Drosophila melanogaster: one gene and its partner. The protein of the gene in region 1 purifies or fractionates together with the protein of each later gene. This does not show direct contact. Each region holds a gene or a part of one and is shown on either strand. Other genes may lie near its edges.

Region 1 (7,726 bases):
AATCGCCTCCAGAAGCTTCGCCTTCAATGCCGCATCCTGCTTGTATTCCGCCAGGGTAAGCAGGAACTTCGTCTGGGCCAGCTCCAGGTTCGGGTTCTTCTCCAGACCCTGCTCCTCCAAGTTTTCGGCAGGCATTTTGGTCGGATTTGTTGGCTTCGGTTTTTTAAACACAGAAAAATAGTTGATTTTCTTGACAAAACTCAATTTTGTTTTTGTCAAATCGCAGAGTCATGTACTACCAGTGTGACCCCAAAATTATCGATAAATTATACCGCATATTTTTACATTGCCAAAAATACCAGAGCGATGTCCATCAAGATAGCGACGAAATTAGAACAGTGCAATTGCCAATTGGGAATTTGTATTTTAATTTATTTTTAAATTCTGAAAGTAATTTAAATTTAAAAAAAAAACTTGAGAGCTGTCTAGAAAAGAACTGATGTTTCATGATAACTTTGTCGAAGAATTAAGAAATATTTAGTTGTAAAATAATTGTTGAATCTATTTTTTTCCAATAACACGACTTATATATTTTTTGAAAATATTCGAGCTAAATCCCAAGAAGTAAACTCAATCTGGGATTTGAAGTGCCCAGAACTCGAATAAACACTTCTTTTTAAATAATTGTAAGACCGTATCACTTATGGTATATACTGACCTCGAAGGGCCACACTAAGGGGGAGTGAAAATTGATTTTCTGATAAAAATTTTCGCTTGAAGCTACAGCATCGTCCACTGTCCATGTATATATCTTATATTTGCATATAAATATATATATTACACCGACTTGGACTAACCATCAGATAGCGCACAAGATGATTGGCGGCCTGTTCGTCTACAACCACAAGGGCGAGGTGCTGATCTCGCGAGTTTACCGCGACGACATCGGTCGGAATGCCGTGGACGCCTTTCGGGTCAACGTCATCCACGCCCGCCAGCAGGTCCGCTCGCCAGTGACCAATATTGCGAGGACCAGCTTCTTCCACATCAAGGTCGGTGAACAAAGTTCCTATGTCACAATCACCAACCCTCCCACTTATCATCAAAACTCCTTTCACAGAGAGCAAACATTTGGCTGGCGGCTGTGACCAAGCAGAATGTGAACGCCGCGATGGTGTTTGAGTTCCTTTTGAAGATCATCGAGGTGATGCAATCCTACTTCGGCAAGATCTCGGAGGAGAACATCAAGAATAACTTCGTGCTCATCTACGAGCTGCTGGATGAGATCCTCGACTTTGGCTACCCGCAGAACACGGACTCCGGCACCCTGAAGACCTTCATCACACAGCAGGGCATCAAGTCGGCCACCAAGGAGGAGCAGATGCAGATAACCTCGCAGGTTACCGGCCAGATTGGCTGGCGTCGCGAGGGCATCAAGTACCGGCGCAACGAGCTTTTCCTGGACGTATTGGAGTACGTGAACCTGCTGATGAGCCCGCAGGGTCAGGTTTTGTCTGCCCACGTGGCCGGCAAGGTGGTAATGAAGTCGTATTTGTCGGGTAAGTTAGCATAAATAATCTAGACATTATTCCTTTTAATAATCGCCATGTTGTAGGCATGCCCGAGTGCAAGTTCGGGATTAACGACAAGATCGTGATGGAGTCTAAGGGACGCGGTCTCTCCGGAAATTCAGAGGCGGAAACCTCACGCTCCGGCAAGCCCGTCGTGGTCATCGATGACTGCCAGTTCCATCAGTGCGTCAAGCTAAGCAAATTCGAGACGGAGCATTCGATCAGCTTCATCCCGCCGGACGGGGAGTTCGAGCTGATGCGTTACCGTACCACCAAAGACATTTCGCTGCCATTCCGAGTCATCCCGCTGGTGCGGGAGGTGGGCCGCACCAAGATGGAGGTTAAGGTTGTGCTGAAGTCCAACTTTAAGCCCTCACTGCTGGGCCAAAAGATCGAGGTGAAGATACCAACCCCGCTCAATACATCGGGCGTGCAGCTCATCTGCCTAAAGGGCAAAGCCAAATATAAGGCTTCGGAGAACGCGATCGTGTGGAAGATTAAGCGCATGGCGGGCATGAAGGAGACACAGCTGTCCGCGGAAATCGAACTTTTGGAGACGGACACCAAGAAGAAGTGGACTCGGCCGCCCATCTCCATGAACTTTGAGGTGCCATTCGCGCCGTCCGGCTTCAAGGTACGCTACCTGAAGGTGTTCGAGCCCAAGCTCAACTACTCCGACCACGATGTGGTCAAATGGGTGCGCTACATCGGACGCAGTGGCTTGTATGAGACGCGCTGCTAGGGCGCCCAAGCATCCCCATCACGGAGCAAGATTATCACAATTGAATTTAACGAGATGAATGGAGAAAGTGTTACCGCATCTATTGGTATTTCCTCAATCAAATTGAACCAGCAGCTTATGTATTCCAAGATTAGTTCCAGCAAGTCCGGAGGACGCCCGAGTAGCGGATCCACCCCGGACACCCTATGCCGTATACCGCACACACTGCCTCCGCGAGCACTGGTTATGCGGGCGGGGCGTGTTCCCCATAGACATACCACTACTAGGTACTATGATTTACCCTACTATGTAAATGTAAACTATGTTGTTTTTATATGCGTCGCGGGACGTCTCACAAATCTCACGCTCACGTTTCACAACTCTAATTATTATTTGTATTATCGTATTATAAATATATATATATATGTATATTTAATCATTATTTTCATTGTGCAAAGAACAAAGGCGATAAATGCAACTAAGCGTATTTAATAGACCAAAACTCTGTCAGCGCTATCAATATTGATATTCAAGTGTTAATAATATTCGAATTGTTTAATAAATAAATTAGCATGATATATACTAAAAATGATGTGTTTCTCATTGGTGAAAGGGTATCGTTATATGGCTTTTCCCTATATCGAACTGATATGCCCAACAATAGAACGGAAAGGTACGATTACAACCTCATAAATGGGTGATATACAACTTTATGATCAGCCCACAAGTGCTGTCTTCGCTATCACGTGTGCACATTGGTTCAAGATCAGCTAAATCCTGAAATTAACGTCACAATTATTGATGATGTTCAACGAAGTGAAAACTAGTTTCTAGCCATGAATCATCGCACCAATGGAAGTGATCTTTGCGTTTTGGGAAAGCAAAAAAGGGCCTAAAAATGCCAGTTGGCATAAAAGCTTGCTTATCGTGGAAGGGGCTTTTCACAATTTTCCATCGGCGCTAGAAATCAACATTGTCCAATCAGTTCACCCACTGCGATAAAGTTTATTCCGCTGTGTCCATTAAACTATTATTTCTAGGTGTTAGCTGTTGCCAGCGCTGGATAGCCTTGACTGGTTTCGCCATCCAGATACTAATTAATTGGACTGGAAATTTTAATAAATCCGTAGATATCCGCTGAATCAGAGTGAAGCTTTTGCTTTGTTATCACCCAGCTGGCTTGGTCAGCAGAGTGATAACGCCACGAAAAAAAAACCGTATTATCATCTTTTTGGGCTGACACGCTACACGTAACATGGATGACATAGTACCCGATGTGCTGGATGCGGTTCCCGCTGGCACCATTAAGGTCATCTATGGCGATGACTTGGAGGTCAAGCAGGGCAACGAGCTAACCCCCACCCAGGTGAAGGACCAACCGATTGTCAGCTGGTCTGGGCTGGAGGGAAAGTCCAACCTATTGACCCTGCTCATGGTGGATCCCGATGCACCGACTCGTCAAGATCCCAAGTACCGTGAGATTCTGCACTGGTCTGTGGTCAACATTCCCGGCAGCAATGAGAATCCTTCTGGTGGCCACTCCCTAGCGGACTACGTTGGATCTGGACCGCCCAAGGACACTGGCCTGCATCGGTATATTTTCCTCCTCTATCGCCAGGAGAACAAGATCGAGGAGACGCCCACTATATCCAATACGTATGATATATATTAAGATATTTATCAGTTTACTGTGACACTGATCAATTCCCATTCACAGTACTCGCACAGGCCGTTTGAACTTCAACGCCCGGGACTTTGCCGCCAAACATGGATTGGGCGAGCCCATTGCCGCCAATTATTACCAGGCCCAGTATGATGACTATGTGCCAATTCGGAATAAAACGATCGTAGGCTAGATTTGTGCATATATCATGCAGGGTTTTCAATTCCCCGTCAATAAAGTTTAACCAATTGCTTATCTCGCTATCTATGCGTTGGGGTATTAACTGAAAAGTGCACGGAACTGATTAGGCGGCGGACTCCGTCGATAAAAGGCCAGACATCAGGGATCCGGGCCAGAGTCAACTCGCTAACGCTACACCGAGCAGAAGCAACAGAACTACCAGCTAACATGGACACCGCCGGCATTATTCCCGACATCATCGACGTCAAGCCCGCCTCCAAGGCCACCATCACCTATCCTTCCGGCGTTCAGGTTGAGCTGGGCAAGGAGCTGACTCCCACTCAGGTGAAGGACCAGCCCACTGTCGTCTTCGATGCCGAGCCCAACTCCCTGTACACCATCCTGTTGGTGGACCCCGACGCACCCAGCCGCGAGGACCCCAAGTTCCGTGAGCTGCTCCACTGGCTGGTGATCAACATTCCCGGCAACAAGGTGTCCGAGGGCCAGACCATCGCCGAGTACATCGGTGCTGGACCCCGCGAGGGAACCGGCCTGCACCGCTACGTCTTCCTGGTGTTCAAGCAGAACGACAAGATCACCACCGAGAAGTTCGTGTCCAAGACCAGCCGCACTGGCCGCATCAACGTCAAGGCCCGCGACTACATCCAGAAGTACAGCTTCGGCGGTCCCGTGGCCGGCAACTTCTTCCAGGCCCAATACGATGACTACGTGAAGACCCTCATCGAGACGGTCCAGTAATCTGGCCACCAACTGATCAGCTCTCTGTGAAATAATAAATATTAAATATGTACTAGTTCTCATAAAAGTTATCTCATACATGCTTGTGGGCGGGTCTTTTGCTATGCGATTTCCATAAGCAGCTGAAGTATATTTTTATAAGAATTACTTTTGATAACATTTCCGGAATTAATTTAAACTTGCCCGAGGCTTTGATATCTTTCTTTGAAGTTAAGTTTATAAAAGCGAGAGAAAGAAATGTTTATAATTAATCATTTATTTCCCTTTCGCTAAGTTAGGAGATATGGTTATTTTTCAATTTATTTCGAAATGATTCATTGAATAGATAACAATATTCTTTAACTTAGATATGAATTTGATTCATCAAAACTATCAGTTTCCTTTTAAAATTCGAACTTTGAACACCTGCATGCTCATTTCTGATAACTGCTTTCACATATAACGAATATCCATCCAACTTCAAGTTACCATTGTTAAACAAGTAATGAGTTTGGATCCATGAAAGCTTAAATATATTGGTTAATCTAGTTATTTTTGTTAAAGAAATCGGCCACCAGTTTGTTAAACTCCTCCGCATAACGTAAATGGATATTATGCTTCCCCTCGGGGAACTCATAATATTCCGCATGAGGCAAACGCTCCCTCAGCCAAGGAATGTGCTCCGCTGCTATCATGGGATCCTTCTTTCCGTGGAGTATAAAAGTAGGTATCTTTATTTTCTCAACTTCGGTGCGACAGAAGTCTCCATCCCGTTGGTCATAGAAGGCGCATGCGGCGTCCACCCATTCGGCCCACAATTGGGGGAATCTTTCGACGCCGTAAACCTTTTCCATGGGCTCACGCATGCGCGGCGACCACTTGGCCACATCCCGAATGTTCTTAAGAGCCTTGACTTCGTCAGCGTTCAAGTAGGCACCTGCTCCCCAGATTGCTAGGCGATCCACAGCTTCCGCATGGCGACCTGCGACTATGAGCGCCGTGATGCCCCCATCGCTCCAGCCCAAAATGGAGAAGCGTGGTCTGTCCAGGGCACGCATCAAATCCACGGCTGCCTGGGCATCCTCCCGAAAGAATTCAAGGCCGAACTTGCGCTGCGGCGGCACTGATTTGCCATAACCCGGCGGATCCCAGGCGATGATGGTGTGACCCGGCAGCAGTTTCGGCAGCTGCTCGATCTGGGGCCTAAAGTCGGTCCACGAGGAACCCAGTGCTCCCGGCATCAGGAGTAGACTCCGCTCCCCACTGCCGCTCTCCACAATGTTCAAATCTGAGCCATTCACACGAACTTTCCGCTCCGTGTGCAGCAAGCGCCTGGTGATCGGGGAACGGGCACCCACAAGCCGGCACAGATTGCCCAGCATTACGTAAGCGGGATCTAACGGGGATTTTGGAGTATGGCAACAAACTTAGCTGCTTCTCAAGGGCTCTTCAGATGTCCAGAGAGGAATATTTGGCAAATTCTAATCTTTACACACGACGCCTTGTAAAGTGCACTTGATAAAGATCCGTTGATAACAGCTGATTGATAAGAACAGCTGTAAGTAAACGATCGAATTAGTGTGGCTGTAGGTGCGATGATGCCATATACCGTTAAATCAAAAGTAAATATACCAAAAAACTAATTTTAAAAGAATCGTTAATTTTTTAATAATTTGAAAAATATTTTCATATTGATATTTAGGCATTGGGTGATGCACTTGCATTTTTAAGAATGTTCCTGAAATTTAAAAGATTTTTCCATTCATTTTGAAGAATATTACTTGACAATGCCGAACTCTCCACAGATTTTAAAATAATGGTAGTTTAAAAGCCCTTGAAAGTTCAAGAGCTGCCGCTCAGTTTGATTTTAAGCTTTTCGCTCTTCCCCCAGCTTTTGGCATTCCCAATCTTAGTCCTTGTTAGTCCACTTGAACGTCACGACTCCGAAGGACAATGGACAGCACGTGCTGGCATTTGTTTAGCCTTTAGCGTGCGTTAAAATATTATTAAAAACCGTAAGTGCTTAATAGCAGGATCCTGGTCCCTGCTGTAATGGTCAGTGCGTGATTCGTGTGCTCAAATTAATGTGTTCGCCTGGACTGCGACGACGATTAATGGAGGCGACGGCCTTGCAATTGCTCTCCTAGGACGAAGGAGCAGGGTGATGGGATTTGACAGAGGCAGGACATACACCCACAATCGAGAGTAAGGGACATCACATTCCACTGCCAATGCAAATGCAAATCGAATTCGACTCCGAGATGTCGAAGTTGCGTAGTAAATGTCAAGGAATTTACACGGGTCGTCTCGGAGATAGTGAGCCCGGGGGGGTGTCAGCTTGAGTTGGTGTGTGTGAGTGTGCGTGCGGCCACAGGACACCCACGCACACAGCTGAACATGCATATGTGTGTATCCATGTGAATGTGGCATCTAATACGCTTTAGTGGTGCAGGTTATGAACCTGCGTGCTATTCGCTTATTACGCATGTGTGAGTGGGCAGCTGGTGTCTATGTGTGCGTTTGTGTGTTAGTAGTACACATATGCATGCCTCGTGCGAAGTAAGCGAGCTTTTAATTTTTGGCATTCCCACACACTACACTCAAAGCGTGCGGTGCTTTCCTTTTCCGTAGCACACTTTTTCGGGTAAATCAACAAAGTACCAATATAAACCATTAAATTCAAGATTTCCAGTAATTCTGAACGATTTTAACTTGTCTAAATGTAAAATCAGTAGTGTGAGGTACAAACTCCTTTGTCCAGTTCGATTGTAGTGCCATTTTCGAGTCGCCTAGACCGCACCAGTGGCTTTTTGTGAATAAGCTGGCGGAGCTTTCGTTATCCATTGGAAACAGTGCGAAGAAATTAAGTTTGAAATTGCAGTTCAGTCTTGTCGTGGATGCAGCGCGGATCGA
Region 2 (7,782 bases), 7.3 Mb from region 1:
CCTTTTCAAGTGAACGATGTACACGTTCTGAATAGACTTTTTTCGCTCAGTGTAAGAGGTAGCAGCGCCGTCCGGTTCGATCGGCTACTCCGTAATCCAATTAAAGGAACAATCTACATTTCAATTCAAAACTAATGAAGTGTAGAGAATTCGCAACAAAGGCTGACATGTGTTGATTGTTTCGACGACTGCAGTGCTGGTATTTGAAAGTCGTGGGTTTCTTCTGACTCCATATAGTCCATACAGACACGTAATACCTGGCTTTTTAAAGCCATTACTAACAAGCTTCCCTGTAGAGCACCCAGAGTTCCAGCTGCACAACTTCCGTCCAGCACAAGCACACATTGTGCGTAGTCCAAACAATTCATTGATTGATTGTCGATATGGCGATCAATTAGACAGATTATGGTTTTCATTGATCGCCATCCAGCAGCAGTAGTGACAAACCCAGGGACAGCTGTCAATGGTCACTTGTATCTACTTCTATATGCACAATATATAAACGCCGACTTCGATTTCGATTTCTATTCTCGGCAGCACACCATTTTGATTCTCCTACTGCTACTGGGACTTGTTCTGTGGACCGATTCCTCGCTGGCCGCCCGTCGCCTGAGGAAGAAGCCCAAGGTCTACAACGCTCTCATCACCACCGACGACAACCTGACCTCCAGCCGCGCCTATCCGGTCATCCAGCCCACCATTCACGAGCCGGGCTACGCCCCCTTTGGACCCTACAATCCCTACGGATTCTACAGTCCGCCGATTGTGAGATTCGGCCAACCGATTGTCCCGGGATTGACGCCAAATGAGAGGGTGAGCTTATGGGTTTCATTAAGTTGCTAACACTGATAAACTTAGCGAAATATTTCGCAAGATTAAATTACTGCTAGCTATAATAAGACAATGATTAATTTAATAATAGGTATCATAAAAAGCTCACTCTAGAAATCTCTGACTAGAGCAATGAACCGCACTCAAAAAAGAAATATAGTAGTTTAAACTATTGAAACCTTAATATTACAGCTCCCTTACCCTCTGCCATCTGCCGCCCAGTATCCCGCTGGCTATGCTCCATATGAACCCCAACAACCGGTGGAGGCGCCAGTGGAGCAGCAGCCGCAGTCGGCGTCGCCACCCGGAACCGTGGAGCGCCAGGAGATGCCCAAGGAGCAGATGCCAGTGCCGTTGAATCAGCAGGGATTGCCGCCCGTGCTGATACCACTGCCCTCCCAGTTCAGAGGCCAACCCATGCACCTGCCACCGTATCCTTACAGCCAGTATCCAGTGATCTATGACCAAGCGGGCTTCATAAGGCAGAACTACTTGCCGCCGTACGACTACTATCCCAGCCAGGGTTATCCCCTGCGGGCAGCCACTTTGCCGCGCGCGGAGCAGGAACAGCCACTGAATCCCGTCCAGAGTCCACCTTCGCCACAGCCACTTCCCCTGGAGAATCTGGAGCCGGCGCAGCCCAGTTTCGAGGACATTCGCAACGGTTCGGAGAGCAAAAACAGCGCGGTGCCGGATGTTCCACCTCCGCCAATACCCTCCGGACCCAAGCGTCCACGGCCCGCGGAACCGGAACCGGAACCGGAAGCGGAACGCAAACCGGAAACGGACAACTGATTGCGGGCTGACCAAAATTCCACACACGTATTTATTACCATTTCGCTTAGGCATAATATCGATTCGATTGTACAATGTCGCCTTAACCCGTAAGCTAAAGTAAGAGTTCATTCAGAGATAACGAATAAAAAACATAAAATCGCACTGGCGGTGATTGAACTTGGATGGATGTTCCCCAGTTCCCCAGGGAAACCAGGGGACGATTTCGCTTTCGTCGGGGAATTGGGAGCCGTTTATCTCAGCTCTGATGGGACTATAAAGGCAGTCGAGTTGCCGGGAAAAGTTACAGTTAACATCGAAAGGGGAACTCAGAATGAAGCTGGCCCTGCTCCTGATCCTCTGCTGTTGCCTCATCGGAATGGGTGAGCTACAACTTTGGTCTTTGGATACCCAATGAATAACAATATCCAATATGCAGCGATTGGTGACTCGGTTTTGGTGACCAAGCCGCCGTTCATTCGCAGTCGCTATAGCTTGCGTTGGAGGAAGACAACCACTGTGGCGCCTGAAGTGGTCACTGGATCCAGTGGATCAACCGTTAACACGGTCACCACCACCGACCATCCCAAGCTGGCCACTTCCACCGCCAGTTCGGATTACGACTATTACGGAAATGGGGAGACGGAGAATGTGGTGCACAAGTAATAGTCATATTCCAGCCATATGACTATATATTAACACTTGATATAATCAGAGCGACTTTAATGTCATAACAATGTAAGAGAAGGCCATTTAATAAATAAACTGTATGTCAAATCTCTAGAAATCAATAAGAAATCCAATAAGAAATCTAAATTCAAATTACGCGGCATTAGACTTTATAACAGTTATGTTGCTAGCAGACGTTGTCAAAACAAGTTGGCAGTTTTTACAGCTCCATGTTAACTCAATGTTAGCTAACATACGACACAAGTCAGCTGTTCCGCGCCGACAGCAACAGCAACAAAAACAGCAGCTAAGAACAAACGAGTTTTGGATCGAAAATGTTGTTAACAATTAAATGCGCTCAGAATGTGATTAAGCCGAACTGCCAGAAAGTGGCCAATCTGCTTGCCAGCAGCCGCAGAGCTGGTTTATTCCCCACAACTGCAACAACAGCAACGAGTAGAAGGTATTCAAAAGGTGGAATGTGCGGAAGGGGAGGGAGGGGCAAAAATACCAAACTTAAATCTGAGCTTTATTTTTCGCGCAGCCTGTCGCAAATCTCAGTTCTGTATTCGCCAGCAGCGAGAGAAGCAGCACGGGCAGCAACTGGTGGCAGTGCGAATCTCCGGAGAATCCACAACACCCCAACCACAGAAGCAACAGCAACCGCAATCACAGCGAAAAAGCGCAAAATGGTGGTAAGTACGAGCCGAAAGTGAGTTTGAGATCAAGGTGAACGGAGTCTCAGCGAAATCGAGTGGTTCCCTTATCGCCTCCAACTGAAATCAATCGACCACCCAAGGACAGGTTTGGACTTTCGGAAAGTGCTTTATGCCCTAACAAATAGAATCACTGTGATTTTGGCCAGAAATGGAGGTTTTTCGCTCACAAATTATTTTGTATATATATCGTATGAATCAATAACACTCACATACTTGTTGCTCGCTGCCCTTTAGGTACGACTAAACGAACAGGAACGCGCCGAGAAGCTGCAGCCCCTCCTGGACGCCGGCTGGACTTTGGTGGAGGGGCGCGACGCCATCTTCAAGCAGTTCGTGCTGAAGGACTTCAACCAGGCCTTCAGCTTCATGACGGGCGTGGCATTGCTGGCCGAGAAGATCAACCACCATCCCGAGTGGTTCAACTGCTACAACAAGGTGGACGTGACCCTGTCCACGCACGACGTGGGCGGTCTCAGTTCGCAGGACATTCGCATGGCCACGCACTTGGAGACCACGGCCAATTTGTTGAAATAAACGCATTGTTATACTAGTTGCTAAATATCTATAATCTTCGGTGTCCAATAAATACTCAGCTTAGCATCGATTTGCTAAAGATTTGGTAGTCGGCTTGTTCCAGGACATCTGGCGAGATCTCGTCCTTGACGTAGCCCAGTTGCTTGAAGAAGGAAATGGAGGCTTCGTTGTTGTTGAGAACGGTCAGCATGACCTTTTCCAGATGCCACAGGCGAGCGCAGTCCTCCAAAGTGCTCATGATGAACTTTCCCAGGCCTTTTCTACGATACTCTGCAGCCACTTGCATTTCGTAACTGAAAGGAAGTTCTACGTAATTAATGCATAAGGGCTTTACTTATGGAATACCCACCAATACAGGACACAGTCCCCGTGATCCATGTCGAAGCGGAACATTGCGTAGGCCACGTTCTCCTTCTTTTCGTTCTGGGCCACCAAGTAGCGAGCCCAGTTCTTGTTCAGCTCGGCGGCTTTGATCTTGGGCTGCCAGCCCATCTTGAGTTGCTTGTAATAGGGTCCCACGTTCGTCTCGGCCAGCTTAAAGGCCCATTTCAGCAGTTTGGAGTCCGCATCCGACTTCGCTCGGCAGATGAGTTTGAATTCCTCTCCGCTGGGGGCTTTGTAGCTTTGGTAGCTCAGAGATTCGAGGGGATTCTTGGCCCTGGCAGCCGTCTCCACAAATCTCTGTTTGGCGCCCTGACTTAGATCGTCCTGATTCCGCATTGTTTGCTTAAAATTTTGTAAAAATGGCAATTCGACTAAAAATATGCCGCGCAAATTAGGGATGGCACACAGTGGTAAACAAACTATTATTGCTTATATAGAGACTGCTATCGATTACACAGATTAACTTTAATTGGTATTTTTGAAATAATAATTACTGGCCACTTCATTATTTACCACTGTTTTGTAAACAATTGCAGAAAATTTATTGAATTCCATTTTACGGCTTATATACGGGTTTTAGACTAAATTGTTAGTACGATAATTAACCTTAATATCACTAAGACTACGAGACTCGATACATCAGGTAACCCCACATATTGAATCCCCAATTCAACAAGTGCTGACGTTTCCAGTTCTCTAAATTGTAGTTTCAAGGAAACAGACGATGTTTAGGAAGTCCAGGCCCAAAGTAGAGCCTCCACCCACGGCTCCCAGTGTAGAGGAAATGCTGGCGGACATGGAAACGTTCGAGGTCAATCAGCCTACGATAAGCGGATCTACAGACAACTTGGACTTGGAGCACGCTTTCATGACTGAACCAGAGAATCTTCCCCTTTCAACATGGTGGCAGATGTTCGACGAGTACGATCAGAAGGTGAAGAAACTGTCGGCCACCGTGGGAGATCTGGAGACCCAACGAAATCAGTTAAAAGAATGCTATGCGAAGCTGGAAAATAACGCGGATAAACTGAGAACGGACATCCAAAAGCAGCAGGCACTGGTCAAAGAAGCCCTTAAATGTTAATCTATCATTAAGCTACCTTATCTTAAACTATTGTTGAATGCACGAGCGGGTAACAAGTAAAACCTAAAAACTCCACAATCTTGAGAATATTCACTTTAGGCCCACTGCACTGTGGTTCGAGTCCCGGCTAGAACTTCAGCTCAAAGTACGTTTGCGGTATATTTTTCAACCGCGAGGTGTATTTTTCTGAGCCTGACATTTTAACGGTCAATGCGCGGTGTGGTCACACTGCTTGGTGGATGGTAAGGTGGTCGAAAAAAGTTGTTAAAAGCGCAGAAAAAGCAATTGTAATGCAATTGCTCCAGTGACTGTGAAAAGTAAGCAGCCAAGCAAATAAGTTAATCAAAACATAGATCAACAGATCAGAAAGTCCTAAAACGGCACGATTAGTCGTGAAATTCGCTCGGTTTAGGCCTGGATGATTGGGCAGAAGAACAGGTTTTAGGCCGTGGCAACAACGAAAAAAAAAAAAAAATAGAAAAAAAAACCTGCGACTGGCTTATACCATTTACGCCATTAACGGAGGTCGATGGTTATCCCTGTGTGTGTGTGGTGTGTGTTTGGTCCAATATATTTGGCTAAATTCCGCAAATCCAATTAACGCAAACGGAAAAAAAGAGTGCAACAATTTGTGGCTAATTGAATTTTACGTGTATTTTATTTTGGTTTTCGACCAGCGCAACAACAACAGCGAGCAACGAGTAGAAAGAGTGGGGAGAGCAGTGGGGGTTTTTTTGGCCCAAAGCTCAGGTAGAATACACACACACACGCATGATTGTTGGGCAAAAACAATAATTATCCAATTAAACGGTTGTCAAAGAATGCATTTAATTTCATTGGCCAATAGGTTTGCGCGTAAGAGAGGGAAGCAGTGGCGAAGAGAGCGCCTAACTAACAGTATTTTTCACGGGCACACCAATGCGAGCGACACTGCTTCGTGTGTGTATGTGTGTGAGGTGCTAATGAGATGCTGTGACGCTCTTCTTCTTCTTGCCGTTTGTTGCTTTTGCCATTTATGCAAAAAGACGCAAAACAGCGAAAAAAAAACAGAACAAAATACACAGATTTTCGAGCTGAACAAAAGATTTCACGTAAAAGGTGAAAGCCACTTGGAGATGCGAGCACACGGCGTATACGCAATGCAGTTTCTTTGTGCCACGGACCGTTAATGCAATCATCTCGCGATCATAACCGTTCTAGATTCTCACCTCTCCACTCCGCATTCTGCACTTTTCCACTCCTCCAGTTACCGCGGAGATGTCACCGATTGGAGCCACTTCCTCGCAGCGAATCCCACAACAATAACAAATAACGAATAACAAATGATGTGATGCAGCAGCAGGGGTCGAGTTCGAAAAACACAACCTTCGAGTAGTCCAGGCCATCTAGAATCGCACCCGGATCGCACCCACGATGAGCTGGCTGCTGGGCCTCCTCGGGCTCCAGGTCCTGTTCCTCTGGCTCCTGTGGCTGCCCGGCGAGATCCTGGCCATTCCCACGCCGCTCAAGCTGCCAGGTGAGTCGGGCTTTAAAAGATAACCCAAAATCTAAAAAATTAAACAATCTGATTTTTTACAAAGAGGCTTCCTCAAATATGCTATTTGTATATCATCATCGTATCAATATTTGTTTTCTTAAGTACACTGTAATCCTCTTAATCAGTTGCTTTCTATAGCCTACCCACAAATTTGTTCATCACTTAGTTAAGAGAAATTTCATCTTGTCATCGCCGCTGGCAGCTTTCTCCCGCTCCCACTAACCCCTAAAATGCCCCCTTCCTCTTACAGGCTACACCCACAGGCTGACGCCCTACATCAAGCACTGGGAGGCGGCGAACTTCGATCGCCAGGTGCTGCAGGCGGCGCAGGTCAGGCACCTGGAGCAGGCTCGCTTCCGGCAGAAGAGAGAGGTGACCCCCTCGGCGAGTGGACTGGCGCACACCATCCGCTTGAATTTCTCCGCCCACGACAGGTGAGTGCACTCGATATCGCCAGCCGAAAAGGTAATCACTTAATCACCTAAAACCGCCTTCCTCACGCAGAGATTTCCGCTTGGTGCTGCGTCAACAGCCGCATTCGGTGTTCGCCCACGATGTGGAGATCGAGAACACTCTGGGCCCCATCGACTACGATGTGTCGCGCATTTATACGGGCAGCCTGGAGGACGACGAGGCGGCCCACGTCCAGGCGATCCTCACCAGCGACAACCTGTTGGACGGCACGATAGAGACCCAGGCGGAGCACTACTACATCGAGCCGGCGCATCGGTATTCCCAGCAGCTAGCCGAGAGCGGTGTCCACAGCATAGTCTATAAGTTAAGCGATGTAAATATGCAGAAGCAGCAGTTCACCGGCGGAGGACTCAACTCCGCCACTCCCGCCAAGACGCACTGCGCCAGCGAAAAGCTGAGGAAGAAGCGGTGGCTGCCAGAGGAGGTGAGTATCCGAAGAATGCACTCTAAATCCCATTTTAATGAATCTCACCTTTTAGCTGGCCATGTCGGATGCTCCGGCCCCCACGTACAATCGTAATCCGCCCCTGCCGCTGGACTTGGAGGTGCCGTACAACGATGATTTTCGCGTCCTGGCCTCCGAAGAGGACAAGAGCGAGGAGTCGCCGCGGAAGTACCCGACCACGTCCACAACCAGGAGCACTGTGCGCAGCACCGAGAGCTTCCTGGCCACTCTGACTAAGCCCACGTCGAACCGCAACATACTTGTAAATAACTACAATCCCTCCAATCTCGGCGAGGGAAGTCGCAGCTACAGCAGCGGCAACAACAACGCC

Evidence for each region.
Region 2: the proteins of Pebp1 (region 1) and Naa40 purify together in Drosophila melanogaster (affinity purification with mass spectrometry, with the first as the bait; one large-scale study listed by BioGRID). This does not show direct contact.

What each region holds. Positions count from the first base shown.
Region 1 is NT_033777.3:22,461,788-22,469,513, forward strand, and holds Pebp1 (Phosphatidylethanolamine-binding protein 1), read left to right. Parts: upstream 1-4,246; 5' UTR 4,247-4,303; coding exon 4,304-4,834; 3' UTR 4,835-4,892; downstream 4,893-7,726. Other genes in the region: Rpn7 (regulatory particle non-ATPase 7), read right to left, coding at 1-135; AP-2mu (adaptor protein complex 2, mu subunit), read left to right, coding at 816-992, 1,061-1,499, 1,556-2,253; CG7054 (uncharacterized protein), read left to right, coding at 3,488-3,888, 3,950-4,088; CG5377 (uncharacterized protein), read right to left, coding at 5,359-6,195.
Region 2 is NT_033777.3:29,720,620-29,728,401, forward strand, and holds Naa40 (N(alpha)-acetyltransferase 40), read right to left. Parts: upstream 4,332-7,782; 5' UTR 4,248-4,331; coding exon 3,877-4,247; intron 3,821-3,876; coding exon 3,583-3,820; 3' UTR 3,540-3,582; downstream 1-3,539. Other genes in the region: CG15506 (uncharacterized protein), read left to right, coding at 538-813, 1,024-1,626; CG34296 (uncharacterized protein), read left to right, coding at 1,940-1,988, 2,045-2,271; Pcd (pterin-4a-carbinolamine dehydratase), read left to right, coding at 2,610-2,737, 2,819-2,969, 3,228-3,527; CG18731 (uncharacterized protein), read left to right, coding at 4,636-4,995; Kul (Kuzbanian-like), read left to right, coding at 6,409-6,511, 6,783-6,966, 7,037-7,430, 7,486-7,782.